Xenopus tropicalis: one gene and its partners. The protein of the gene in region 2 interacts with the protein of the main gene of each other region in a pairwise test. Links are inferred from orthologs where the notes say so. Each region holds a gene or a part of one and is shown on either strand. Other genes may lie near its edges.

Evidence for each region.
Region 1: the proteins of rbfox2 (region 2) and qki interact in binary tests that used the Homo sapiens proteins (3 or more experiments, as listed by UniProt). The link is inferred for Xenopus tropicalis from reciprocal best matches to the Homo sapiens genes RBFOX2 and QKI.
Region 3: the proteins of rbfox2 (region 2) and rbpms interact in binary tests that used the Homo sapiens proteins (3 or more experiments, as listed by UniProt). The link is inferred for Xenopus tropicalis from reciprocal best matches to the Homo sapiens genes RBFOX2 and RBPMS.
Region 4: the proteins of rbfox2 (region 2) and psmf1 interact in a two-hybrid assay, tested with the Homo sapiens proteins (2 studies listed by BioGRID and IntAct). The two-hybrid records come from large-scale screens. The link is inferred for Xenopus tropicalis from reciprocal best matches to the Homo sapiens genes RBFOX2 and PSMF1.
Region 5: the proteins of rbfox2 (region 2) and rbm42 interact in a two-hybrid assay, tested with the Homo sapiens proteins (2 studies listed by BioGRID and IntAct). The link is inferred for Xenopus tropicalis from reciprocal best matches to the Homo sapiens genes RBFOX2 and RBM42.
Region 6: the proteins of rbfox2 (region 2) and atxn1l interact in binary tests that used the Homo sapiens proteins (3 or more experiments, as listed by UniProt). The link is inferred for Xenopus tropicalis from reciprocal best matches to the Homo sapiens genes RBFOX2 and ATXN1L.
Region 7: the proteins of rbfox2 (region 2) and atxn1 interact in binary tests that used the Homo sapiens proteins (3 or more experiments, as listed by UniProt). The link is inferred for Xenopus tropicalis from reciprocal best matches to the Homo sapiens genes RBFOX2 and ATXN1.

What each region holds. Positions count from the first base shown.
Region 1 is NC_030681.2:54,618,383-54,621,882, reverse strand, and holds part of qki (protein quaking), read right to left. Parts: intron 1,579-3,500; coding exon 1,435-1,578; intron 1-1,434. UniProt on the Homo sapiens protein: RNA reader protein, which recognizes and binds specific RNAs, thereby regulating RNA metabolic processes, such as pre-mRNA splicing, circular RNA (circRNA) formation, mRNA export, mRNA stability and/or translation.
Region 2 is NC_030680.2:115,226,648-115,230,834, forward strand, and holds the start of rbfox2 (RNA binding protein fox-1 homolog 2), read right to left. Parts: upstream 2,801-4,187; 5' UTR 2,659-2,800; coding exon 2,632-2,658; intron 1-2,631. UniProt on the Homo sapiens protein: RNA-binding protein that regulates alternative splicing events by binding to 5'-UGCAUGU-3' elements. Prevents binding of U2AF2 to the 3'-splice site.
Region 3 is NC_030677.2:83,961,183-83,965,196, reverse strand, and holds the start of rbpms (RNA-binding protein with multiple splicing), read left to right. Parts: upstream 1-1,214; 5' UTR 1,215-1,505; coding exon 1,506-1,568; intron 1,569-4,014.
Region 4 is NC_030686.2:690,903-695,181, reverse strand, and holds the start of psmf1 (proteasome inhibitor PI31 subunit), read right to left. Parts: upstream 2,801-4,279; 5' UTR 2,694-2,800; coding exon 2,559-2,693; intron 1,341-2,558; exon of another isoform or gene 1,319-1,340; coding exon of another isoform or gene 1,292-1,318; coding exon 1,145-1,291; intron 1,027-1,144; coding exon 944-1,026; intron 1-943. UniProt on the Homo sapiens protein: Plays an important role in control of proteasome function. Inhibits the hydrolysis of protein and peptide substrates by the 20S proteasome. Also inhibits the activation of the proteasome by the proteasome regulatory proteins PA700 and PA28.
Region 5 is NC_030683.2:128,977,846-128,981,956, forward strand, and holds the start of rbm42 (RNA-binding protein 42), read left to right. Parts: upstream 1-1,311; 5' UTR 1,312-1,364; coding exon 1,365-1,420; intron 1,421-3,350; coding exon 3,351-3,468; intron 3,469-3,607; coding exon 3,608-3,695; intron 3,696-4,111. UniProt on the Homo sapiens protein: Binds (via the RRM domain) to the 3'-untranslated region (UTR) of CDKN1A mRNA.
Region 6 is NC_030680.2:59,918,800-59,922,750, reverse strand, and holds the start of atxn1l (ataxin-1-like), read right to left. Parts: upstream 2,801-3,951; 5' UTR 2,553-2,800; intron 2,528-2,552; exon of another isoform or gene 2,456-2,527; intron 1,122-2,455; 5' UTR 1,007-1,121; coding exon 1-1,006. UniProt on the Homo sapiens protein: Chromatin-binding factor that repress Notch signaling in the absence of Notch intracellular domain by acting as a CBF1 corepressor. Binds to the HEY promoter and might assist, along with NCOR2, RBPJ-mediated repression.
Region 7 is NC_030682.2:93,429,300-93,432,799, reverse strand, and holds part of atxn1 (ataxin-1), read right to left. Parts: coding exon 2,546-3,500; intron 1-2,545. UniProt on the Homo sapiens protein: Chromatin-binding factor that repress Notch signaling in the absence of Notch intracellular domain by acting as a CBF1 corepressor. Binds to the HEY promoter and might assist, along with NCOR2, RBPJ-mediated repression. Binds RNA in vitro.

The DNA of each region.
Region 1 (3,500 bases), on a different chromosome or scaffold from region 2:
AAAACCTGCCATACTCTGCCTTCCCTACCCTGCCTGTGTGTGCCATACTCTGCTTGCCCTATGATGCCTGTGTGTATGGCACACACAGGCAGCATACAGTGACACAATGCTGGCACTGCTCCTACAGTCTGCACAATAACAATATATTAAAAAACTTTTTAATTGCAGTACCACCTCAGTATATGCTCTTTTTGTAATGTGCAGGGATTATTTGTGGGTTTCTACTACTCCTACAGTCTGAGGTGTGAACAGGGGAACAATGTGGGTGATTACAGCCTGAGCCTGAGGCGTGAACACTGCAGGGGGTGAACAACGTAGGGATTAAAAGGTGTAAACAACACAGGGGATTACATTTTTAAACAATACAGAGGGTTTACAGCCTGAATCTGAGGTGTGAACCATGCAGGGGGGGGCAGTTAATCTCAGTACTGATACAATTTAAAGCTTACACAAAGGTAAGCCATGAAAGCAGCCAGACAGGTGGGGGGGCCACACAGAGGGGGGCCGAGGGCCGCATGCGGCCCGCAGGCCGCCAGTTGGACAGCACTGTTCTAGCTGATATGTAACCACTGAAGCAGAATATGCTGCCTTTAAGAATGTAGCACTTTAACCGTTTACTTAAGGCCGCCTGGAAATCTTGTACTTATCTTTACATAGCTTTTTTTAAAGGAGAAGGAAAGTCATTTTGACATTTTACTGCCAATAGATTTGCCACATTAGTGCCACCTAGAGTAATATATTTATTCTACAGAAAGCATTATCATACCTAAGTACACAGCTCTAGAAGGTTTTCTCCATTTGCTTAAGACAGCAGCTGCCATTTTAAGTAACTTCCTGCTGCAACTCTAGCCATTAAAGCTCAGATTACACATTCCTAAGGGAGGGGGAGGGAGTTCTTAGCATTCTTGTGGGGGGGGGGGCAGAAGAGGGGAGAGTTCTGCAGACTCCCCAGGAATTAAGGATGTTTCTGAGAGAGGAAACCAGACACCTGAACAACATGTTTACAAAATAGGAGAAAATAAATCCTGTGTTTCTTTTGATAGAGGACTCATTGCAGCTTTTCTATGAGTGTTTAGGGCTGTATTTACATAGACCTTTCTGTCAAAGCTTACTTAGTTTTTACCTTTCCTTCTCCTTTAAAGTATCTTTAGCTTGTATGAGCCTGTAGGAAAGTACATTGTCACACAGACAGTAGCTGAATGGTCAATCAATAAAGTCTGACCTCAGTATTCTGCTCTGTAGTGTAGCAGGAACTGAATGATCTTTGTATTTATTTGGTACAGTACAGCTACTATGCCAACATATGCTTCTCCAAAAATTATTATGTAAATTGACCAATCTATAATAGTAAAATAAACAGTGGTGTTTAATTTGCACTTTTGCTGTAATTGGTCTTCTGGTAAGCCAGTAGAAAAAAAAGTTACTTATACTTACTGCTGGGACCAACAGCTTCTTAACCTCTTCCACTGCTCTTTTTAACTTAATTTCTGCTCTGTTTTGTGCATCTTCAACTGTTATCAATACATGCAGATCTTCATTTAGATGCTCCCAGTTAGGCTTGCCTCTGTTTTGTTCCTCCTATAAAAAAAAACATATAATCAAGATCAATAAAACAACTGCTTATATTTGCACAGTCAAATCTTATTTCTCACTATAAAAGATTGCAAAGGAAATCACTAACTTAGTCAGTGTTACGTGTATCAAAATGTGTCCTCCAACACAATTTGCAGGTGTTCTCATATTACTGTATACGTATCTTAACAGAGCCTTTTCAAATAAAAAAATAAATAAATAACTGGGCTTGATTTTGCTCAGTTGGCACAGCAATGAAGCATTCCAGGAACCTGATAAGGTACAAATAAATCAAAAATAGCAGCATAAAGAATGATATCATTTACTTCCAAAAGTAATTTGTAGATATAGTATTTGACAGAATATTTAGAGGCCTTTTTATAAAGATATGTTTCACATAACAAAAACGTAGTGATTTTAGGAACCACAAATATTACACTATGAAGCCATTATTTTTAGGGATGCATTGAATCGATTCGGTATTCGGCTTTTTTGGGCAGGATTCAGATTCAGCCGAATTCATGGTCCTGGCTGAACCGTATCCGAAAAATCATGTGAATTTTTAAGTTGAAAATTTTTCTCCAAGCCTAAATTAGCATATACTAATTTAGATTTCAATTTGGTTCATTATTTGGCCAAATCCTTTACGAAGGGTTCAACAGAATCCAAATCCCTAATTATTTATCACAAATGGTGAGTTATGCCGGGAATTTCTTGGCCACCTGAATTTTTTCCAGACATATTGGGTAATGCCAGGTCTTAGGGATATAGGATAACGGTATCAAATAGTGTTTTGGTGCTATGAAAAAAAGTGGAAAGACCTTTTTTTTTTTTGTAAATAAATCTGGAAGGCACTTTCAATGTTCCAAAAATATATTTTGATGTTGCATAGAGGAGACTGCAAAGTAAAAGCATCTTTTGATGGCTTTTTATATTTCAAAGCTTTATTTTGCACCCCCACATTCACTGATGACTGATGTAAATGGATGTAGATAATCATTAGATCTTTAACTTGAACATAGCAGGTCAAAAGTATAGGGGATAAATTAATTGATGCTCTTTGAAGAGATAAATGCATAGAACATTGCAGGTAAAGTCATGCTCAAAATGGTGGTGAATGTATTCTTAAAAGTGATACGGACAAGAAAAACCTTTTAAAAATATGAATCTACGAAAAAAAGTTACCTATAGGTTGTGTTAATCATTTTTTGCTGATCGGTTTGCTTCTGTAAGTGCTACTCGAAATTCCTAAACCTGACTGGTTTGCCAACAACTGCAGCACAAATATGGCAACCCCCTCATAGAGGAACACGGGGGATCAGGCAGATGATGGATGTAGATAATGTATAGCATCGGACAAATACTTCTATGGCAAAATTATAAACAGCATGCAAAGACATAGTTATTATAGATGTCTTTTTAGTGTAGCTTGCTTAAAATCAGTTTACATCTCTGATTTGCTGTTCATTATTCGTATGGGAAAACACCTCACACAAGGTAACCTTTTACCACAGCTATAATTGCTTTCAAGGACTGTCAAAAATATGCAGGCAGGTGAAATTTTCAGTCTAGACAGATCAACTATGATCTAAAAAGACTTCCAGCCAATGGGGAATAAATGTCCAGATGGTCAGCAGTATGATCATGATCCACCAAACACCAACCATACCTAGGTATCTGGCGTGCTTTAGAATAGAATCTGGTGACTGGAAGGAAAAAAATGAACATACTATTTCAAAAAAAGTATATGGACATTTTTCAAAATATATTACATATTGTTTTCACATGTTGTGTATACAGTTTAAAAAACATAAGAGTGCTCAAATAACACCAACAAAAATTGCAGCACAGTTTTAAGGGGCGTAATGGATTTGAATCTTCTGAACAAAATCAAAAACAAGCAGCTGAGCCATAAAAACTGACAAAAT
Region 2 (4,187 bases):
CCCTTACATCCTTTCCCTTGATCCACCATTTAGTGATGGGCTTAGTGCTCCCTCAGGGATCACATGACCAGAAATAATGCAGCTCTATCTGTAACAGGAAGAAGTGTGGGGGCAAAAGGCAGAACTCTGTCCATTAATTGGCCTAGTGTGTATGTGTGCCTTGGCTTGTGTGCGTGCACTGTAAATCCTATGATCCCAGGAGGCAGCCCTTAATTCTTAAAATGGCAATTTTCTATTTAGGATTATCCAATGGCACATACTACTATCAAAAGTATATTTTTATGAAAATGGTTTATTTAGATGAAGCAGGGTTTTACATACGAGTTCGTTTATGCAATATATTTGTATAGAGACCTACATTGTTTGGGGGTATAGTTTTCCTTTAATTCTTAGTAGAAAAGCTCTTGGTAATGACAAATTCAAGGCACCCCCTGTATAGAGAAACTTGTCACATGCATTTCTCAGGTGTGATTTTGGCCCATTCTTCCACACAAAATGTCTTCAAATCTTCAAGATTCCAGGGTCCTCTTCTATAACCTTTGATCTTCAGTTTCAATTGGATTCAAGTTGGGTGATTGATTGATTCTAGCAGCTATTGAGAGTTTCCTTGGCTGTGTGTTTGGGATCATTGCCTTGCTGAAATGTCATCCCTACTTTCATCTTCAGCATCCTGGTAGATGGCAGCAAATTCTTATTAAGAATGTCCCGGTACATTTCTCCATTCATCCTTCCTTCATTTATATGAAGTCTGCCAGTACCATATACTGAAATACAGCCCCACACCATGATGTTCCCACCTCCAAACTTCACTGTTGGTATGGTGTTTTAGGGGTGATGTGTAGTGCCATTTCTCCTCCAAACATTATGTGTGCAATGACATCCAAAGAGAATTTCATTGGCGTGTTCAAATGTTGTGCAGCAAACTTTAAACAAGCTTCAACAGTGGAGTCTGGCACAGTGAGCATGCATAGTGGCCATGTTGGTTGAGCACATTACTTACTGTTTCCTTTGAAACAACTGTACCTGTAAATTCAAGGTCTTTCTGAAGCTTTCCACAAGTGATCCTTGGCTCTTGGGCAATTCCTCTGACTCTTCTTTTGACTCCTCTGTCAGAAATCTTGCGAGAAGCACCTGATTGTGGCCGGTTTTGGGTCAAATGATGTTCTTTCCACTTCCGGATTATGGCCACAGCAGTGCACACTAAATACGTCTGTAACCAATGCCATCAGTATGTTTTGCAACAATAAGGTTGCAAAGTTGCTTTTACCCATCATGAGATGCTCTTTGTGCAATATCTTGGTAATAAGAAACCTTTTTATAGGCCATCAATTAGGACTAAACTAGCTGATATTAATTTGCACTGATAGGGGGCAGGATTGCTTTCTAAATACTGACAGATTTCAGCAGGTTTCTTGGCCTTCCATGCCTTTTTGCACCTCCTTTTCTTCATGTGTTCAATACTTATTCCCTGTGTCATTTGACTTTATTACATATTACTTCATTTAAGGACTTATTTGTTTTGATTTCTTTATATGTGTGAATTACTTGGGTTTTTACCAACATTTGGTATAAATTTCATGTCAATAGCACCATCAATAATATATTTACTGAGAAAAATGTTTATGTGTTCAATACTTATTTTCCCTGTTGTATATTATATTTCTGTTCAGAAATACCAGTAAAAATGAATGCAGAATGCAAGGTTGCTTATACCAGTATAATACAGAGAAAAAAACAAACATAAATTCCCTTCCTTTATATAAATGTGTTGTCCCTGCAACAAGGGTTGCCAATCTTAGCCATGTAGTAGGAATCCTCAGAACCTCCAAGCTTTCCCATTGCACCAGGTTAACATATTTCAAGCTGAATGGCTGTGTGTATGCCACTCATCCGCCTACCACCTGATTACTTTCACCTTCAAATTGCTGTCCCGCTCCCTGTAACGTGGATATAATAAGCACCTTTAACTGGAATCGCAGACTGCTGCGGAGCACTCTGCATAGGATTCCCTGCACGCCCAGTGATATCTTGGGAATGCCCCGTGTATATTTGGGTGAGATACATCTGAACAGCACTGAACAACATTTACAGAAAGACTGTAGTTGTTTAAAGCAATAAATGTCATTTTCCCCCCAACTAAAATGCATTTTATACATATATGCCTTTCTATAAATACACAAAGGCAGTTCTGTGTCACATGCATGGGAGCAGACAATAGGTATAAAAACAACAAAAATATAGCTTTAAGCAATAAAACAGCGAGCCTCCACGCAGGTTCGTAAGAAACGCCATTATGAATTTTAAGGACTATGAACGGGTTTGGTTTAGGAATACTGAGGACGAGGGGGGGGGTGAGGCAGAAATGCCAGTTATGGATTAGGAAATGTAGCTGGGGTTGAGCAGAGGGTGAGAGGTGTGCTGTGAGCGAATGTTATTCTGATCTGTAGTACAGTGAGGGAAATGGCAGATATGGGGAAGGAGTGGAAAAGCCCCACATGGTACTAATTAGCAGCAGTAACAAAGACAGAAACACAAAGGATGGGGAGAGGTAAATAGGAAAGGGGGGAGGGAATCATGCAGACTGAGGAAGAGAGGGAAGGAAAACAGACACAGGGACATTGCAGCCCTTACCTGCGAAACCATTTTATTCTTCTCCATAAACCAGCAGAAGAGGAAAGGACAAAGCAGATAGGGGAGCACAGTAAGCTCCCTGAGCACCTCGAACTGAAGTCTAAAGGGGGCTAATGCTTAGGATCCCGGTGTAATTCTTTGTCCTTGTGTCTGTCTCCTTCCTTTCTTCCTATCTTTCTTTGCTGCCTTGCTCTCTTTCTCTCTCTCAGGATCAAGCTCCTCCTTCTGACACCAGGGGTAATTTATCACCACTCTGCCACTCCTCCCTCCCCTTCCTCCCCCTCCCAGACCCTGCTCCCTCCTCTCTCTTCCTTTCCCTCCCCCTCCTCTCCTGCATGGCTGGCTGGAAGGGACATCTCTCATTACACATGGCAAACAGGAGAAATAATTGGGAGAAAAAAAAGAAAATCTGCAACAGTAAAAAAGCAGACATAAAGGAGACAAACAGGAGACTGACATCTGTGTAACAGAATAACATACAAAGAACATTACAGATAAGACATTTACTGGACGTGGCTTTTAGGTGAAATAAAGAGGGTGAAATAATGCTAAAATTAAATTACAGTATTTAATTTGGGGAGGAGGAAGAAAACCAAAGCATGGCTATGGCACGGCATGACCCCCATCACAGATCAGGCTGCCAATGAAATGAAAAAGACAGATTTAATTGACTGATTGTTTTTCAGCAGGAAGGGAGGAATAACTGCTGCGGGCGAGTAATGCTGCAGGCGAACCTTACAGACTGAAACGGATACATGAGGCACTTACAGACCCTCGCAGCAGCTCTACATGGCAACACTCAGCTACAGACTGTACATACTCAGCCAGCCTTCCCTAAAACTGCATACACCTTCACATAAAGGGACAGTACCATGGCATGTTTATGCAATTTGGACAAACAACGTGTTTGTGATGCAACAAGCTGAACACTGCAAATGAAGGTAAAACCGGAGACATACACCAATAATATACAACTAAATATTACCATCACTGGTCATATTTGGGTTCCCCCATACCACACGGTATTTGCAATTACTTTGACTAGAATGCCTAGAAATATGGGCACAACATTGGTCAGATCTGCCATGTTAAGATACAGTTAAAGGATAATTTCAATGTTAATTGAAATGTTTCAATGTTTCAATGTTAAAATAACTTTTTCACTTTTCATAACCTATTATAACATTTTCGAGACCCACCAGTAATGTTGCATTTTTAAAGTTAATCTCATTTTGTTTTTTTCTACTTAGGTCATCTCCTACTTATACTGCATTCTGACTTCCTAACTACTGCCTGGCTGCTATGGAAAATAAGCCCTAGCAACCATCTTGAAGCTAAAAAAAAAAACAAATAAAAAAAGACCAATTGCAAAATGCATTTATTACCACTGTCTACTATGCAACTTTAAGGTGTTAAACACTATATGAACTTTTAGAAATAAATATAAATGTATTTTTTCTACACAAACATACCTGATTCCACAGATGGAAAGAAAGCCATAATAGTTCTACAAGCAATTTCCCAACATCCCTTTAGGGTGAAGACACACAGGGGTT
Region 3 (4,014 bases), on a different chromosome or scaffold from region 2:
TAATGAAGGTACAAGTATTTCTAGGAGATCTGCTTCCTGAGGTAGCCTAGATTTGCCGCAGGTGATAAATCTCCTTGTCTCCCAGTATCCTAAGGCCCATAGGGAGATTAGTCACCTATTGTTAGATTGCCACCAGCAATAAAGTAAATTGCCGATGGGAAGACATATGCATTGCTTTGTTTTGTGAAGTTGTGCTGTTTCCTCCTGCAGGGAATTCACATTTCTGGGATTAGTTCCCAAAATTTTAGGGAGATTAGTTGGCCGCGGTAGCCAAGATTTAACCGTGGCCAACTAATCCTCCTGTGGGCTATTGCCCTTATGGTGATGGCACATGTGGAAATTAGTCTCCAAAAAATGCTTTCCCACCAGCAATAATGTAAATCACCACTGGGAAAACATACGCTTTGCTTTGTTCTTCTAAAGTTGAACGTAATTTTCTCACAAAGAATATCCAGAAGATTAGACACCTGTGGTAGAGCAGATATATCAAGGGTGACTAATTCCTATGTGTGCAGTCACCCCTAAGGCTGAGGCACATGTGGAGTTTAGTCACCTACGATTTACATTACTGCTGGTGGGAAAGCATTTTTAAGAGATTAGTAAACTGTGATAAAGCAGATTTAGCTCAAATCTCCAGGTCTCATTGCCATGGCTCTAAGCTCCCTCTTTTGTGGAATCCTAACAACAACAAGAATAAATGCATAAGAGCGCATTATCTTTGCTGGTTCCTACATTGTGTACTTCGCACCTTGGTGTAAACCTCTGCCTAAATTAACCTTACAGGAAAGTGTTAAGATCTATCGCTACAAATTGAAATAATATAAGGAGGGTAAGGCGGCACCCAGAACATTCAGGTATACTTGCACTGTAATAGATCCTACTCACCACTAGCACCAAACACAGTGCTTATCACTCTTTCCGCCCCCTCCACTCTCTCTTTCTCTCACCCTGCTGCCGCTGCCTATTTTCTATCTCTCGGCATTTCACCCTTTGACCTTGTCTGGAAATCGTCAATTTCTGAAGACGCTTTCAAGCACGGCTGATTTTTTAACTAAGAAATTGGACCCGATACTGATTTTTTCTCTCACCAGCCCTCCCTGCTCTCTAAACAGAGCAGCTCCCCACCCACAAACTGGGAGTTTTGTAGTCCCGGCTCTGAAGTTGCTTTAAGCCCTTCCCCTTCAGAAAGCAAAGGCTGCTCCTAACCCTAATCACCAACAGTCACTCGCAATCCCCCTTTCCTCTCTCACCCCCTCGCTTGCTTTCCTTATCACTCGTACAAACCACAGACTTCCTCATCTTACTTTTAAGACAAAACTCTGAAAGAACAAGAGCTTTATTATAATATTTGGATCTAAATGATATGCTTTTCATTAAACTAACCAGTAACCTGACTGCTTGAAACTAAGTTCCAGTCTTTCTCCAGCACTTCCCAGTATAAGGAAAGCGAAAAGTCTGCACTGTAGAAACTGACATTCACAGAAGCCTCTGCCCAGGAGACCACAATGAACAGCAACATAGCTGAAAAGGAGGGCTCTCAGGATGAGATCAGCCTTCCAGAAGAAGAGGTAGGTGGCTCTAATACAACCGAAATATTTTACTCATTATCCCTAGTCTGCACATGGTGTTATCCACTTGTGATGCCTGCTGATCATTCCAACTCCTATAGTTTGTTGTATAAAAATGCTTTTTTAAATGTTTCTTAAAAAGCTGTAATATTGATCAACAGAAATGTAGTTCAGTATACATGTTTGTGTGTTTACAAATGCTAAGTAAAAGCAGCTTAAATTTTGTATATTATTACATACACACACATGTATACCTTGTTATCAGTCACTGTTTGTGTGTATATATGTAGTGCGGTACCATTTTGTGGGCTTGTTGTTTTAGTAAGTGAGCAACCCTGGCTGTAGTCCCACAGTAAGATTTGTTTCTGGGGATTTGACAGATTCTATGTGTGGCAATTTAGGTCCGACCTCAGGAGTCAGTCAGTCGCATCCTCATTCATCCTTTAGGAGTGATGAGCATATGATTACCCTGTGACTTGTCAGATTTCATTTGTATGGAAAGAGTTCACATTCATCAAAATTGTATGTAATTGCATGCCTTAACTTTCATGCTGACATTCTGATGTGATCAAGCTCATGCAGTGGAGGACCACTTTCTATAGTGTGAATGTGAGATTGGTATTTTTTTAATGGGAGAAAACGACAAACTTAATTATTCTGGTTTGTAGATCAGAACAATTGCTTAGTTCTAAACAGTCAATCACATCAGCTTTTGATTGGAAGCATGATCTGCACAACTGTTGTTTTGTGAGTGCAGCATACAGTAAATCTGTTGTTTAAACAAATGTGTTCATAAATTGTTCAATAAATCCTAGGTGTCTTGAGTTTCTGGGATTTTCCTTAAAACACGGGAAGTTGTAATATATGAGTTGCAGTTCTCATTGCTGTGTATTTTTTAGGTGGTACAAAATGGTCCTTGTTTTGTCAAAATAGTAATATTAAAATTAAAAAGCCATAACCCTCTCTCACAGTTGGGTCCTTGCATTACTGTGTAGAGGAAGGAAATAGTGTTGTTAAACAATACCTCTCATGCTGCAAACAAATAAGGATAATGGATACCAGTTCTCAAGTGTGAACTAGCTCCTGCATTTCAACTATGAGATGCCCTTTAGGGCTTGTAATTACTAGCGTTTGTTTCTGCGTTTCACCGCAGGGGTGCACAGAAACAAACACATTTCATACTTCCCCATGTGCCTATGTGGTCCCTCTTCTTTACTAGGGCCTTATTGTCCAAGACAGCCCAGCAGACATTCCAGCAGGTGGAGGCCAAAAGGCAAGAGCCATGTGATCCCGCTTACTATATTAAACATTACAGGAAACAATTATAACATCCGTGAACCAATAGGGAAAAACTATTCTACCCAGGTATCTAGGTTACAGGTGCCAGGAATATGCAAAAAGAAGGGAAATCAGGCTAGTAGGGGATTCACAAACCCACAGGGCATTTAACTTACAATTCAGTAGAAGATTCAAACATCTTGAGTGTGGGAATTTTGCTTTTTAGTACCAGTACTTTTTGACCATGCACCATTCAGTGTGCGGTTCTCCTCTGTGTTTCTCAAGTCCAGGCCCAGGACAGTTGCCTATAGTTTACATACACATCACACATTTTCTTGCAAATTCGTCAATATTGGTATTTTTATATTCACTTCTTGTGTCAAATTTTCAGGTTTAACAAAATTGCATGCTAGTATGAAGATCAGCTGTTTTAAAAAAGGATTCTAGGAGCAGCTGCATTTTCCTCTGAACAGTAAGTGGAACATGCAAAGGACACTGGCTCCCTTAACAGCATTGTTTTGTCCTTGGAATAGTTGAATTCAGGTATACTGTTAGTGGCATGGTAGAACAAGGCAAATGATTAATAAATGTTTCAGTTGTTTGTAAAATAATGTGGAGAGTTTTTGATGCAAACAAAATATATATATATATATATATATATATATAAAATCACAAAATTTGGTAACAGGCACTCACAATACAGAGTCAAGGATGCCTGGGTGCAGTCCAATACGAAATAGTAAAACACAAAATAGCCGGTACCGCACTCACAGGTCTTATATAAAGATATTTATTCAAAAAATCGTGTCTAACGTTTCGGCTGCCATTGCAGCCTTTCTCAAAAAAGAAAGGCTGCAATGGCAGCCGAAACATTAGACACGATTTTTTGAATAAATATCTTTCTATAAGACCTGTGAGTGCGGTACCGGCTATTTTGTGTTTTATATATATATATATATATATATATATATATATATATATATATATACAGGATCTCTAATTTGTAAACCTGATATCCAGAAAGTTCCAAATTACAGGAAGGCCGTCTCTCCTACTGCCCATTTTAAGCAAATAATTCCAATACTTTAAAATTATTTTTTCTGTAATAATAAAATATTACCTTTTACTTGATGGTAACTAAGCTGCATAGATCCATAATGGTTGCAAA
Region 4 (4,279 bases), on a different chromosome or scaffold from region 2:
CATAACCCCCCCTACCTGTGTAATGGCAGCCAGGGGAACCCCACCATAACCCCCCCCCTACCTGTGTAACGGCAGCCAGGGAACCCCACCATAACCCCCCACCTGTGTAACGGCAGCCAGGGACACCCCACCACTAAATGTGTAACGCCCACCATAACCCCCCTACCTGTGTAACGGCAGCCAGGGGAACCCCACCATAACCCCCCCCTACCTGTGTAACGGCAGCCAGGGGAACCCCACCATAACCCCCCCCTACCCACCTGTGTAACGGCAGCCAGGGGAACCCCACCATAACCCTACCTGTGTAACGGTTCTACCAGCCAGGGAACCCCACCATAACCCCCCCACCTGTGTAACGGCAGCCAGGGGAACCCCACCATATCTCCCCCCACACCTGTGTATTTATTCTTATTTACGGCAGCCAGGGGAACCCCACCATAACCCCCCTACATGTGTAACGGCAGCCAGGGGAACCCACCATAACCCCCCCACCTGCTGTAACGGCAGCCAGGGGAACCCCACCATAACCCCCCCCTACCTGTGTAACGGCAGCCAGGGGAACCCCACCATAACCCCCCCCTACCTGTGTAACGGCAGCCAGGGGTAACCCCAACCATAACCCCCCCCTATCCTGTGTGAGACGGCAGCTCAGGGGAACCCCACCGATGAACCCCCCCCACCTGTGTAACGGGCAGCCAGGGGAAGCGCCAGCCATAACCCCCCCCGTACCTGTGTCTGTACGGCAGAACCAGGGGAACCCCACCTATATATCCCCCCCTACCTGTGTAACGGCAGCCAGCCGGGAACCCCACCATAACCCCCCCCAGCCTGTGTAACGGCAGCCCAGGGGAACCCCACATAACCCCCCGCCTACCTGATGTAACGGCAGCCAGGGGAACCCCACCATAACCTCCCCCCCCCCCGGGGCCCCCCAGCCTCTGACCTGGGGTATTCCTGCAGGTGGGCGGAGTCAATGAACCGGGACACTTGCAGCGTCACATCCGCAACCTTCTCCGTCTGCATGTCCTGTGGGAGAGAGCCAATCAGCTGCTCAGAATCAATGGGCTCCTGTTTCATTGGCTGGCACACCGGCACAGCATTGTACTGGCAGAGTGGGTTAGTGCCCCGGGGGCATTCTCCTTACCATGAGATGCACAATCACAGCGCCCTCTACTGTCAGGGCTTTCAGCAAAAACTGTGAGTTTGGGCTCCCGTAGCGCAGCGTGTACAGGTCCGTACTGTGTGCCCATCCCTCCGGGAGGCGCTCCGACCCCGACTCCTGCGCTGCTGCCTGCGGGGGGCGACACATAGTCTGCATCGAAAGGATAATGTACCCCCTACTGTATATGATAAGGATATTAGCAGTCACTGAGGGGTTCTGTGCCCCCCATATAAAGGCACAAGGCTGCAGGCTGAGTTATACAGGGAACTCTGAGTATCACTCATGTATTATAAGGGATACTGTACCCCCTACTGTAAATGATAAGGATATTAGCAGTCACTGAGGGGTTCTGTGCCCCCCATATAAAGGCACAAGGCTGCAGGCTGAGTTATACAGGGAACTCTGAGTATCACTCATGTATTATAAGGGATAATGTACCCCCTACTGTAAATGATAAGGATATTAGCAGTCACTGAGGGGTTCTGTGCCCCCCATATAAAGGCACAAGGCTGCAGGCTGAGTTATACAGGGAACTCTGAGTATCACTCATGTATTATAAGGGATAATGTACCCCCTACTGTAAATGATAAGGATATTAGCAGTCACTGAGGGGTTCTGTGCCCCCCATATAAAGGCACAAGGCTGCAGGCTGAGTTATACAGGGAACTCTGAGTATCACTCATGTATTATAAGGGATAATGTACCCCCTACTGTAAATGATAAGGATATTAGCAGTCACTGAGGGGTTCTGTGCCCCCCATATAAAGGCACAAGGCTGCAGGCTGAGTTATACAGGGAACTCTGAGTATCACTCATGTATTATAAGGGATAATGTACCCCCTACTGTAAATGATAAGGATATTAGCAGTCACTGAGGGGTTCTGTGCCCCCCATATAAAGGCACAAGGCTGCAGGCTGAGTTATACAGGGAACTCTGAGTATCACTCATGTATTATAAGGGATAATGTACCCCCTACTGTAAATGATAAGGATATTAGCAGTCACTGAGGGGTTCTGTGCCCCCCATATAAAGGCACAAGGCTGCAGGCTGAGTTATACAGGGAACTCTGAGTATCACTCATGTATTATAAGGGATAATGTGCCCCCTACTGTAAATGATAAGGATATTAGCAGTCACTGAGGGGTTCTGTGCCCCCCATATAAAGGCACAAGGCTGCAGGCTGAGGGGGCGGGGCACCAGGAGAGGGGGCGGGGCACCAGGAGAGGGGGCGGGTTGTTACACTCACACACAGACTGTATAATAAAGTTTCAGCCCCTCCCCCATTAGCGGATACAGGCCGAGCCCCCCTTACTGTGTAGTAACACACACTCAGCCCTCACTCACACTCAGCCCTCACTCACACTCAGGGGAGGGGGTGCCGGGCTTTATTCTCACCTCCTCCCCCCGGCCCAGGCACCGCAGGCGGCGGCTGATTAACTCCCAGTGGATGAAACAGATCAGCGGATCCGGCGGGCGGGAAATATCGGCGGAAACCAGAGAGAAAAGCAGCTCCATTCCCGGGGCCGCCATGATCGGAACTGCGTCATACTCACTTCCGGTCCCAACACTTTCAGCTTCCGCGTTCAGCCGGGAGAACAGAGCGAAGTGATTGGAGGTTCCGCCCCAGGGGGCGCTATAAATGGGGGGCGGGACTTCCTGCCCCCCCCCCCCCTCCAATAGTCCCACAACTCCCAGCAACCGACACTATTTACCCTGCTCTAGGGGCAAATTACCCTCTTGTACCCCCCAAGGCGAGCAGTGTGGGTTGGGCTGCAGTGTGGGGTGTGGGGTGTGGGGGTTAATAACCTTGGGGGGGGGGCAATATTAGTCTGGGGTAGTAAGGGCAGGGGCAGGTCGGGCCCCCACTCGGGTTACTCCCCATTCAGCTAAGAACCTGTGGTTTTTATGATTTGTTTTTTTTATCTGGAACTTCAAGGCTTAAAAATTGCAGCTGCATTGTGGTTGCTATGCCTCCATTACCTTAGTAACCAGGTAGCGTAACTATAGAAGTGGAACAATCAGAGGAGTTCTGTTTAGTGGTCGATAGGGTCAGTGACCCTTGTGGGAAACGGACGGAATAGAAACACCGATAATTCAACCACCGTACAAAATAAATCACAGAAACCAACTGAAATGATATAAAGATTCCCCCGTTACCCCCCGAGCTCCCCCCAGTCAGTTACACAGCCCCACAGGGAACGTCCCCCGTTACCCCCCAAGCTCCCCCAGTCAGTTACAGCCCACAGGGGAACGTCCCCGTTACCCCCGAGCCCCCCAGTCAGTTACACAGCCCCACAGGGGAACGTCCCCGTTACCCCCCGAGCTCCCCCCAGTCAGTTACACAGCCCCACAGGGGAACGTCCCCCGTTACCCCCCCCCGAGCTCCCCCAGTCAGTTACACAGCCCCACAGGGGAACGTCCCCCGTTACCCCCCGAGCTCCCCCCAGTCAGTTACACAGCCCCACAGGGGAACCCCGTTACCCCCGAGCTTCCCCCGAGTCCCCAGTCAGTTACACAGCCCCACAGGGAACGTCCCCCGTTACCCCCGAGCTCCCCCCAGTCAGTTACACAGCCCCACAGGGGAACGTCCCCCGTTACCCCCCCGAGCTTCCCCCCGAGCTCCCCCCAGTCAGTTACACAGCCCCACAGGAACGTCCCCCGTTACCCGGCTTCCCCGAGCTCCCCAGTCAGTTACACAGCCCCACAGGGAACGTCCCCCGTTACCCCGAGTCCCCCCAGTCAGTTACACAGCCCCACAGGGACATCCCCCGTTACCCCCCGAGCTCCCCCCAGTCAGTTACACAGCCCCACAGGGAACATACCCCCCGTTACCCCCGAGCTCCCCCCAGTCAGTTACACAGCCCACAGGGAACGTCCCCCGTTACCCCCCGAGCTCCCCCCAGTCAGTTACACAGCCCCACAGGGGAACGTCCCCGTTAGCCCCCGTTACCCCCGAGCTCCCCCCAGTCAGTTACACAGCCCCACCAGGGGAACATCCCCGTTACCCCCCGAGCTCCCCCATCAGTTACACAGCCCCAGGGGAACATCCCCCGTTACCCCCCGAGCCTCCCCCCAGTCAGTTACACAGCCCCACAGGGGAACGTCCCCCGTTACCC
Region 5 (4,111 bases), on a different chromosome or scaffold from region 2:
TTGCAGAGGCCCCAGTCTTCAAACTGTCATTACCAAGGTCCAGTGTCCCTATAATAATTATACTTACAATATAATAATACAACGACATACCTCCCAACTGGGCCGATTTTCGCGGGACAGTCCCTTGTTAGACAGCTCAACCTGCAGTCCCGGATTCTTACTGAAAAGTCTCTCATTTCCCTTTGCACTGAAGCTAAAAAAGATACAAATTGAATTAAGAGCCCAGAAATCTTAACGAGCGTCACCTGCACTTAGATACATTGTTTCTCACATTTAATTAAATAAGTAGCTTTCGGCAGAGAGCCCAGAAGGTAAAAAGCCCCCCCTGCACTGAGATACAAGTGTAACTAATAAGCTAAACAGGTCTCTTGGGGGAACTGAGACTCACAGCTTAAAGGGCAACTTCACCTTCATTAGCAAAACTGTATTAACACATAAACCCCCCAGAAATGTGTTCAAACTTTCAATAACCTGCCAAATTTAGTCAAATGGGAGTGGTATTTAGGGGGTGTGGTTGAAAAAATGGGCGTGGTTAAAAAAACTTGCCACACTGCGTGCACCATTTGTTTTTGTCCCTCTTTCCATTTTCAAAATGTTGGGAGGTATGAATTAGCGGTTGTGTTGCCCCAGGGACCATCTTGGAGTCAGGAAGGGATGTTTTTCCCCTCTGGGGCAAATTAGAGAGGCTTCAGATGGGGTTTTTTGCTTTCCTCTGGGGCAACTAGCAGTTAGGCAGGTTATATATAGGCATTATGGTTGAACATGATAGACGTATGTCTTTTTTCAACCTAACTTACTATGTTACTATGTTACTATGTGTCAAGGGGGTGGCACATTGCTTCTCAATGCTTTTCTCCTAATTAGAGACTTTTATGAAGTCCCCTACAAAGGGCAGCCTGTAAAAAGGAAGCAAGTTTACGTATTTCCTTCATCAACCTTAGTTTATTTACTATAACCACCTGATTTGATGTAACTTATACATTTCCAGAGTAACTCTTTATTTCACAATCATTCCTAGAAAATATTTCAAACTGTGTCATACAAAGACGCGAATTTAACTCTATTTGCTAAAACCCGTTCTATATAAATACACCAAGATGGCGGTTGAAAGAACTAAGATCTTGCGTTCCACGCCTCCAGCTCAGTGATTCCCCCAGTGTGAGCGACCCGAAGCGGAAGTGACGCGCTTCTATATAAAAACACCAAAATGGCGGATGAAACGACTAAGATCTTGCGTTCCACGCCTCCAGTTCAGTCATCCGCCCAGTGTGAGCGACCGGAAGCGGTGGTGACGCGCTTATCCGTGCGCCGGCGGATAGTTAGAACCTTTGCGGCTAACGGGTTGCGTTCTGTGAAGCGTCAGGATGGCGGGGAAGAGCGGGGAGGAGAAGATGAAGGCGATGGAGGCGGAGATGGCGCTGTGAGTATCCTCTATGCTGTGTAGGGAGCTGCCAAGCTGTATAGTGAGAGTTTGTTGTGGTTAAAATGGTAAAGGGCAAGTTAACTTTCATACTGACTGGCTCCTTAGGGTGATACAGACCTGCTGGCTGTAGTGTCAGGGGTTAACCTGTTGCCACTCATGGGGCTCTTTCAATATAGCTCTATACTATGTAAAGGGCATATAAACCCAAACACTCTAATAAACGTCCCAGTTCACTTCATTGCAGTCTCTAGTGCATAAATGACTGGGGTGAATAGAGCGTAACAAGTGTAACCCCTTCTTGGCACTCCTGTATTGTGGGCTGTATTACTGGCTTAGGCAGGAGATTTGGCTCCCTTTGCAGATAAAAGGGGATTTTAGCGCAGTGCCTCCCCCTAGTGGACACTGAGGAGCACACCTCAAGGGGATTTCCACTAGGAATAATCACACACAGTTTGACTGAGAAACAGGGGAAAGAGTTCTCTGATCCCCCTACACCAAGGAACCCCAACCTTTCTTACTCGGGAGCCACAGTCAAATGTAAAAAGACTTGGGGAGCAACACAAGCACCATAAAAGTTCATGGAGGAGCCAAATAAGGGCTGTGATAGGGTGCATAGAGGCCCCTAATAGCCAATCAGCTTACAGGGGCTTTATTTGGTAGGAAATCTTGTTTTTATTCAACCAAAACTTGCCCCCAAGTCAGGAATTCAAAAATAACTCCCTGGTTTGGGGGCACGGAGAGCAACGCCCAAGGGGTTGGGGGAGCAGCGCCCAAGGGGTTGGGGGAGCAGCGCCCAAGGGGTTGGGGGAGCAGCGCCCAAGGGGTTGGGGGAGCAGCGCCCAAGGGGTTGGGGGAGCAGCGCCCAAGGGGTTGGGGGAGCAGCGCCCAAGGGGTTGGGGGAGCAGCGCCCAAGGGGTTGGGGGAGCAGCGCCCAAGGGGTTGGGGGAGCAGCGCCCAAGGGGTTGGGGGAGCAGCGCCCAAGGGGTTGGGGGAGCAGCGCCCAAGGGGTTGGGGGAGCAGCGCCCAAGGGGTTGGGGGAGCAGCGCCCAAGGGGTTGGGGAGCAACACAAGCACCATAAAAGTTCATGGAGGAGCCAAATAAGGGCTGTGATTGGCTATTAGGGGCCTCTATGCACCCTATCAGCTTACAGGGGCTTTATTTGGTAGGAAATCTTGTTTTTATTCAACCAAAACTTGCCCCCAAGTCAGGAATTCAAAAATAACTCCCTGGTTTGGGGGCACTGGGAGCAGCGCCCAAGGGGTTGGGGGAGCAGCGCCCAAGGGGTTGGGGGAGCAGCGCCCAAGGGGTTGGGGGAGCAGCGCCCAAGGGGTTGGGGGAGCAGCGCCCAAGGGGTTGGGGGAGCAGCGCCCAAGGGGTTGGGGGAGCAGCGCCCAAGGGGTTGGGGGAGCAGCGCCCAAGGGGTTGGGGGAGCAGCGCCCAAGGGGTTGGGGGAGCACCACAAGCACCATAAAAGTTCATGGAGGAGCCAAATAAGGGCTGTGATTGGCTATTAGGGGCCTCTATGCACCCTATCAGCTTACAGGGGGCTTTATTTGGTAGGAAATCTTGTTTTTATTCAACCAAAACTTGCCCCCAAGTCAGGAATTCAAAAATAACTCCCTGGTTTGGGGGCACTGGGAGCAACATCCAAGGGGTTGGGGAGCAGCATGTTCCCCCCGAGCCACTGGTTGGGGATCACTGCCCTACACTATGTAAAGGGCATATAAACCCAAACACTCTAATAAACGTCCCAGTGCATTTTGGGATTTATATCCCATTCCAGTCTCTAGTGAATAAATGATTGGGGTGTCCTACTATGCAGAATAGAGCATAACAAGTCATAGGACTCTGCAGCAAAGGGTGTAGTAGAACTACAAGGCTCACTGTTTGTCTCACCCTTCCCTGTCATGTTTCTTCATTCTGCAGGTTTGAGCAGGAAGTACTGGGAGCTCCCGTGGCGCTGCCTCCAGTGGATCCCGTGCCCTTGCCCATCCCAGCTGTGCCTGTTATACGGGCGATTATTGCCACTAACACCTATAGCCAGGTAATGTATAGGGGGTAGTGGGGTAATGACCCTGGGGCACCCTAGTGTGGGTATTGCCCTGTGCAGACGGTGCCCCCATATTGAATGATATTATATATATATATATTTATGTGTATTTGTTGCTTCTCCTTACTCACAGGTGCAGCAGAGTCTAGAGGCGAGGGCAGCCGCTGCGGCCAGTGTCGTGGGGCCCATGATTGTTCCACCGGTGCCATTTGTTGGCCCAGGTATAGCTGCAATAATCTTATATATTCTGCCATAGCAAACTGGACTTGTTCACCTTTCAGTTAACTTTTAGTATGTGGTCAGTTCTAAGCAACTTTTCAATTGGTCTTCATTATTATTTTCCTTTTACTTCTGTCTCTGCAGCTCTCAAATGGGGGTCACTGACCCCGGCAGCCAAAACCTATTTCTCTGTGAGGCTCCAGTTTTATTGTTATTGTTACTTTTTTATTATTATTATTCAGCCCCTCTCCTATTCATATATCAGTCTCTCATCTAAACCACTCCCTGGTTGCTAAGGTAATTTGGACCCTAGCAACCAAATAGCTTCTAAAACTCCAAACTGCAGAGCTGCTGAACTGAAAATGAAATAATTAAAAAATTATGACCAATTGCAAAATGTTTTAGAAAATTACTCTCT
Region 6 (3,951 bases), about 55 Mb from region 2:
CTTCCAAATCTGTGTCTGGGGTGCTCCTGTGGGTTAGCAAAGAAGCCTCTGTCCTTTGTGTTGCCAGTCCTGTGTAAACATCACCATCCACCATATTTTCTTGCCCCCTTCCAAGCTGTTCCTCTGCATTTTGGCTGTAAAGGTCTACTACTTTACTGGGCCTATGGCCAGAGACATGATCAGGCATCCTTTGTGTCCCATTTGTAGAAGTGATTGGAATATCTCTGTCTTTACCCGCATGGGGAGGAGCACAAAGTTCTGTGTTAGAATGGCATGCCAGAAGCATTTCGTTCACAGGATAGGCTACTGGCAGCTGAGAGGAATGCTGATAGAATACAGGCACTCTTCCCTTTGCAACATCCACTGGCACCACCCCCATTAGGACTGAAGGAGACTGTGCAGTGTTAAGTTTGCTTATGGAGTGGGGAGACTGAGCCTCTGAGGGTGGAGTCACACCCTCAACAAGGACAGAATTATATGGCACATAGTGAGGGACATGAGAAGCAGCTAAGTTGGCAGGAGGTGATATCACTGCTCGAGAAAGAAAGCCTGGTGGAACTGTATATGGAACTGCGTAGGGGGAACCAAGGAACTGCACAGCAGTATGTGGAATTGGAGCATAATGAATAGGTGGATAAGTAATACCTGGGTGCTGTATCAAAGGAGAAGCTACATTAAAGGATGATGGGATGGAGCTCATATTCATCACAGGATGGAGACCAGGTGGGGAAAAGGAGGCAGCAGGCACTGCAACTTTGTAAAACGTTGCATACTGATCCACAGTTACAGCTTCTGCTTCCTCCCCCGCAGCTTCATAACTAACTCCATGTCCCTGTCCTGCTGCCACATACACACTCCTCGGCCATCCTGAAGCTTCACTTGTTGTACTTTCATTAGCAGATGAGCCAGGTACCTTGGGTTCCTCCTCCACATTTACACTGTTTTGTGACAGATCCCGTTTCTTTGGTGGAAGACATTCCTGGCTCCTCTCATGTGCAGGCTTCATATTGTCTCCTACTCTGCCTGGGATCTCTGTAGTTTATTAACTTCATTGATGCCTCACAGGAATAACCTCTGATAACTCCATTTACATCCCTTGGATGTCTTGTAAACTCTAAGAGCTAAACAAAAGGGAATCTAATTAGATTAGTGATTAGCATAAGAGACACTAGAATAAAACAAATGAAAATAGCAAATCTAGAAAAATACAAATTATAGGCCTATATATAGTAACAAGAACAACATTTTCCTAGATCTAGTAACCCATAACATCCAACCAACAGGTAGCACTCAATGTTCCGTTACAGCATGAAAAACATGAGAAACACTGATGCAGCTGCTATTGGTTTCTAGACCTCAGTAAACTCTTCCCTGTCACTGCACCACCACAATAATGTCAGGATCAATAAGACAACTTATAGTGACCGACAAATGATAACAGAACAATATTCAAGAAGCAATAAACTGCAATAAGCGCTCCCCACAGCCCTCATGCCAACAGTCTATATCCCATCAATGTGATCCAATTGTTTGGCCCTCAGGCCAAATGATCAGATAAATCTAATATCGCCCACCCCAAGGTGAATATATTAGGAAAAAGTTCTGCTTTTTTTGGAGACCTTGAGTCGATCTTACAGTGTATGGCTGTCTTTTCTATTCCCTTCTTTTCATGTTCTGTAACATATCTGAAAAGGAGAATAATAGAAGAGTGCAAAGAGGAGACCTGATTTGATACATTTATTTTGTAATCAGAAGGGAACAGCAAAGTGCAGACAAAAACTGCTTTCAAATACAATTTAATTTACAAGTAAAACGTTGGATAGCACCGACCTAGGCATATAAATACATTTGCATTTGGGATTCAGGTTCTCACAAGCAGCCTACCCCATTTGATATACTAAGGACAATTTTAAAGTATTTTTCTGCAATGCTAAGACTAATATGCATTTATAAAATTACAAATACAACACAAAGCAAAGGTTTTTCTGTATCAAGCCACTGCGCACAAACACACAAAACTAACGCCCTCCCCACTCACAGGGGAAACCAATAAATATTTAACTCTGCTATAAATTATACACACGATATGTTTTCAAAGAGGATCTATTCAAACTTCTGTTTAAGGGCAACTCCACCTTCAACCCATCGTTAAAAAAGACATTCGGGCAGAAAGAGTGGGCAGCTCTTATTTTATTATTGTGTTGCAAAATGTTTAACAATTCTACTGAACACGCTAAATGTAGATATTATTCTAGTCTACTGGCTCCTGTCAAGGCCGCCAAGGAGAGGGGGGGGGGGGGGGGGGGGGAGTCGTCCTAGACCAGCGGGTTTTGAGCATTAAGGTGGGGGCCGGCAGTGCTACACCTACTTGGATACCGGCCCCCCTGCTGTCAGTGAGCTGCAGAGTTCGGGAGCTATTTAGGTTGCTACGGCGCCTGAATGTTCTTTGCCCTACTCTGCTTTATACTGCCAAATAGTCCCCCGCATTCCGTAAAACAGCCCAGCAGTCCCGAGTTCCCAAGCGCAGCCCGCAGTCCCGTATCGCTACTTACACCTCCCGTAAAACTGTTAACTGCAGGCTCCTAGCCTCCTGTCTTACAGCAAATCCCAAAGCCACAAGTCTCATCACGCGAGACTAGCGTCAGGACTAAACGTAAGCGCGATGACGCATCACGTATCCGCCTAGTGGAAGTGACGAGCCGGTGTAACCCAGTCGGACACTGCAAGTTGTTGGAGGTTCAATTGAAATCTATTTTTCCTTTGGTCGCACCTCCTACGTTTGTTGAGGACATGAAAAGAACCAGAAAATATTTTCTTGTTTTCTTGTTTATTTTTCGCCATTACCACCCAGTTTCTACCGAAGTTATGTATTTTTTTGTGCTGCTAAGAGTTGCTTACTTGTGCCAGCGAACTGGAAAAGAGGAGCCTCTTGTATACCGTCAAGATGAACAGCACTTTAACGTGCAATGTTGAACTATATATTGCTTGAGAAATACAGCCTGGCATATATAAGTTTTTAGTGTGTAGACAGAGTCCTCAGCCAGCCTAGTTTATTGTGACCCAGATGCTTTACTAGAGGCTTACATTATTCATACCCACCTACTTCTTAAATATGGGCCCAGCAAGCACAGAGGGCCCGGCGTTAGGGATTATAAATAGCAGCGATTTAGAATTCTATATAAAAGAGCCCTATATGTGAGGTCCTGCCAGCCCAAAAGCTTCTTACAGGAAGGTAATGTATTATAGTCTGGCACTTGAAGGGGTTGTTTACCTTTAAGTTAACTTTTAATATGTTCTAGAATGGCCACTTCTAAGCAACTTTTTAGTTGGTCTTCATTTTTTTTATTTTGTATTATTTGCCACCTTCTGCCTCTTTCCAGCTTTCAAAATGGCCATTGACCCCAGCAGCCCAAAAAACTATTGCTCTGCAAAGTTACAAATTTATTGTTACTTTTTTTAATCTATCTATTCAGGCCCTCTACTATTCATATATCAGTAACTCTTTCAAACCACTCCCTGGTTACTAAGGTAATTGCACCCTAGCAACCAGATAATTGCTTAAATGCCAAACTGCAGAGCTGCCGAACAAAAAGTAAAATAATTAAGAACCTACCAATAATAAAAAATGACCAATTGCAAATTAGAATAGCACTCTATATTAACTTATTGATTTTCTTGGAAAAGGCACAGTCTACTAATACTCTGTATATAGTTGCAAGAACATATAATTTTGTGCTAATGCAGGGCTGCCATCAAGATCGGGGTGGGGGCAGTTGTTTTGGGCCCCAAGGGTTTTGGATTTTAAGGGGGGGGGGGGCCTGGCTGTGCTGCACTTGGATTACCAGGTCCCCTGCCGTCAGTTGCTGCGCTGTGTACATGTTCTTTCCCCTACATAGCTGTCTCATTCACAGCTACACAGGACTGAGAGTGTGCTGAGTCTTTAGGTACCAC
Region 7 (3,500 bases), on a different chromosome or scaffold from region 2:
TTTCATTATTCACATATTTTCTGCAGCTTCCCCATTATGCTGTCTGTTTGATATGTTCAGTGAACCTAAGAATCAAAAATGTTAATAAAAAATGGAATGATATGCAAGAGGAACATCAAATAAAGATATTTATAAGAACATTATCCGGAACCCGGTTATCCAGAAAGTTCCAGAGTTAGGAAAGGCTGTCTCCCATAGACTCCATTATAAGGAAATCATTTTTAATTTCCTTTTTATCTGTAATAATAAAACAGTACCTTGTACTTGATCCCAACTATGATATAATTACTCCTTATTGGAGACAAAACAAACCTATTGGGTTTATTTAATATTTAAATGATGTCTCAGCAGACTTAAAGGAGAAGGAAAGTTATTTTGGCATTTTATTGCCAATAGATTTGCCACATTAGTGCCACCTAGAACAATATATTTATTCTGCAGAAACCATTACCATACCAGAGTAAATAGCTTTAGAAGCTTTCTCCGTTTGATTAAGATAGCAGCTGCCATTTTAAGTAGCTTCCTGCCTGCAGTCTAGCCGTTATAGCTCAGATTACACATTCCTAAGGGAAAGGGAAGGGACTTCTTAGCAGGAGAGGGGAGAGAACTGCGCAGACACTGGAATTAAGGATGTTTCTGAGAGAGGAAAAGCTGTTAATTATCCCCATGTGCAATGCCAAGTGTACCTGTTTTGTGAACTCCTTGTTTCACCATTGCACAATTGTAGGATATTAGTTATCTGAAGATGTTATTATGGGCAGGCATAAGAGTCTTATATGGCCAATCTTCTACTCAGTTCTTAGAAATGTGTTATATCAATAAATATACATATATCAATTTTGAGTGGGCTTTTGCACTTTGCACTTGGCTTTAATGCCATTGAAAATGTATGATGTGCAGTGCATTTGTGGGAGGCTGTATATATATAATTTTTTTTTATAACGTGATAAAAAAAACTTGTCTTTTAGGAAAAGGTGGGCGGGGGAATTTATTGTAGGTGCAAGTTTTTACCACTGTTTTACTATAGAAGTTAATGAAACAATAAAATACAGTATCACCTTTAACAAACTGGAAAGAGATTTTGATGTAAACATTTTCTCAATATTTGATCTTTGTAAAGAATATAAATGACTATAATAATGTGTAACATTTTTCAATCTGCCACTTATGGTGGGCTCAATCAGTGTTAGGCAGCCTGGTATAAAATGTAATAAATTAAACCAGTTCAGTTGGGCACAGGAATTATATTGTAGCCAAAATGGCTTTTTCATATTTAGTGCTATTCATTTAACCCTGATATAAACATTTTTAGACTGTATATGGCTTTTTATGTTTGAAAACTGAGAGGTGTCTGTTACGTGTATGTATTACTTAAATCTGCATACATTTCAAAGTTGTAGTTGTACTCACTATTTGGCCTACTGTATATAGGGACTTCTTGCCCAACCTAGTTTTATGATTTCATTAGATTTGTGGTTTTAAAAAAATATTTTTTTTCAAAAAGTGGTTGTGTCATTCTTTCCTGTCGAATTTTTTTTAAAAGCTTATTCTTTTATTCATTGCTCCTCTTGAACAGCCCCAGTGTGAGAGAGTGCAAACAGAATAATGTAACCCAACAAAATGTTTAGCAGGTTGATTCATTGCATTGCAAAGTACATGAATCTTTTGTCTATAAAACCTCAATTCCCAGGGATTATGAATAACAGATCCTGCACATGACAATGGAAACCAATATGACCCTTCTTAGATCCCTAAATATTGTTGGTCTGCACCTCCTAGTAGGTTTTAACCCCTGATTATCTGTTGAGGAATTCTGGAGTTTTATTTCAACAGCATCTGGGGACCAAAGGTTAAGAAATACAGCTATATAGTAACAGCCTTCATCTGACACCAGCTTTGTTCCATACTACCCTACTTTAACAAACAGATGTCCACTTCATATAGGTTAAAAGATTTAGGGGTATATTTATCATACTGTGTAAAAAGTGGAGTGAAACATTACCGGTGATGTTGCCCAGGGCAACCAATCAGCAATTAGATTTCAACAGTTACAAAATGAAAGAAAAGCATCTGATTGGCTTCTATGAGCAACACCACCGGTGATGTTTTACTCCACTTTTTACACAGCATGATAAATATACCCCTTAGGGTAATGCCACACCAGGATGATAATCAGCATCTATGTTTGCCTCAGCCTACTTTTGCGACTGCACCCAGAACCAAAAAGTTGGCCAAGGTGCAGGCACATGGAGCAGATTTTGGCACTAAAAATGCATTAGTATGCATTTCAGTGATGAAATCTGCTCCATGTGTCTGCATCCGGCGCATGCAGTTTCTCCAGGTGCAGTCATAAGAGTAGGCTGAGGCAAGCAAAGGGGTAGATAAATGCAGGCCGAGAATCAGTCTGGTGTGGCAGTAGCCTTATATTCTGTATGAGAATAATACAATAACTGACGCTCTCTTAGGTAAAAGCTTCTAAAGCTACTTTGTCTTTGATCCATATCAACAATATCTTTAAGTGCAAGATAATTTAACCTTTACTCACCTGTGACCGGTGCTCTCCCACAGCAAACTGCACCACAGCTATGCCTGGACTATGGCTGCTCTCAATTCTCTCCACTGTGCTGGAGTCTATTTTCAAGTCGTTGCTAATATCTGCACTTTGTATGAAGTCATCTGTTTTTAAATCCTCTACTTTCTTTAGCTCACCATTGGCCAGCTGTATGATTGACCCTTTCATAAAGTAAGGGGGCAGTGTAGGGGCAGTTGCCATATGAGAAGCAACAGACTGTACAACAGGGAGGTGGATTTGAGCTGGGACCAATGCAGCCTGGTAGGCAGTTTGAGTTGCCAGTGTTTCAGCACTGTAGTTTTCACCTTTTGGAATGGGCGTAGTGACAAATGTATGAGGCACTGCTGCAAACTGGGGAGATGACGTCACAATACCAGGTGTAACCCCAACCCTAGATGATTCCATGTCTGGATTGCCAACAGGTATAAGTAAGGGCTGGGTTCCAGGGAACACCAAGTGTTGTGGCAAATTTCCAGGGTAGCCAATGGTTTGCTGCTGACTGCTGAGATAGCCAATAACTGGCTGTTGTGTACCCGCATAAAAAGCAGCAGGCAAACCAACAGAAAGTTGTTCTGCTGCACTGTGAGTTGTCTGGATGACAGTGTGAGGAGATAATGTAGCCACAGTTTTTACTACTTCTGGGCATAATGTTTGCTGTGGGGATAAAACATAGGGCCGATGGGTTTGCTTTCCTAAATGTATGCTTCCCCTGTTATGAGCTGCTAAAGGTGAGGTTTCTCTCTTAATAGTTTGTGAGACATCCATGTCTGTGGCAGTTGTGTTGCTGTTAGGCACTACCATGACTGAGGTCCGAACTCCTGAGGGATCCCGAGTACTATAATCAGTACTAGGGTGCACCACCACATGTCTTGTCTCATAATGTTGGGAAGCTGGTTTATTATTGCCTGCTTTCATTAACTGTGCATCT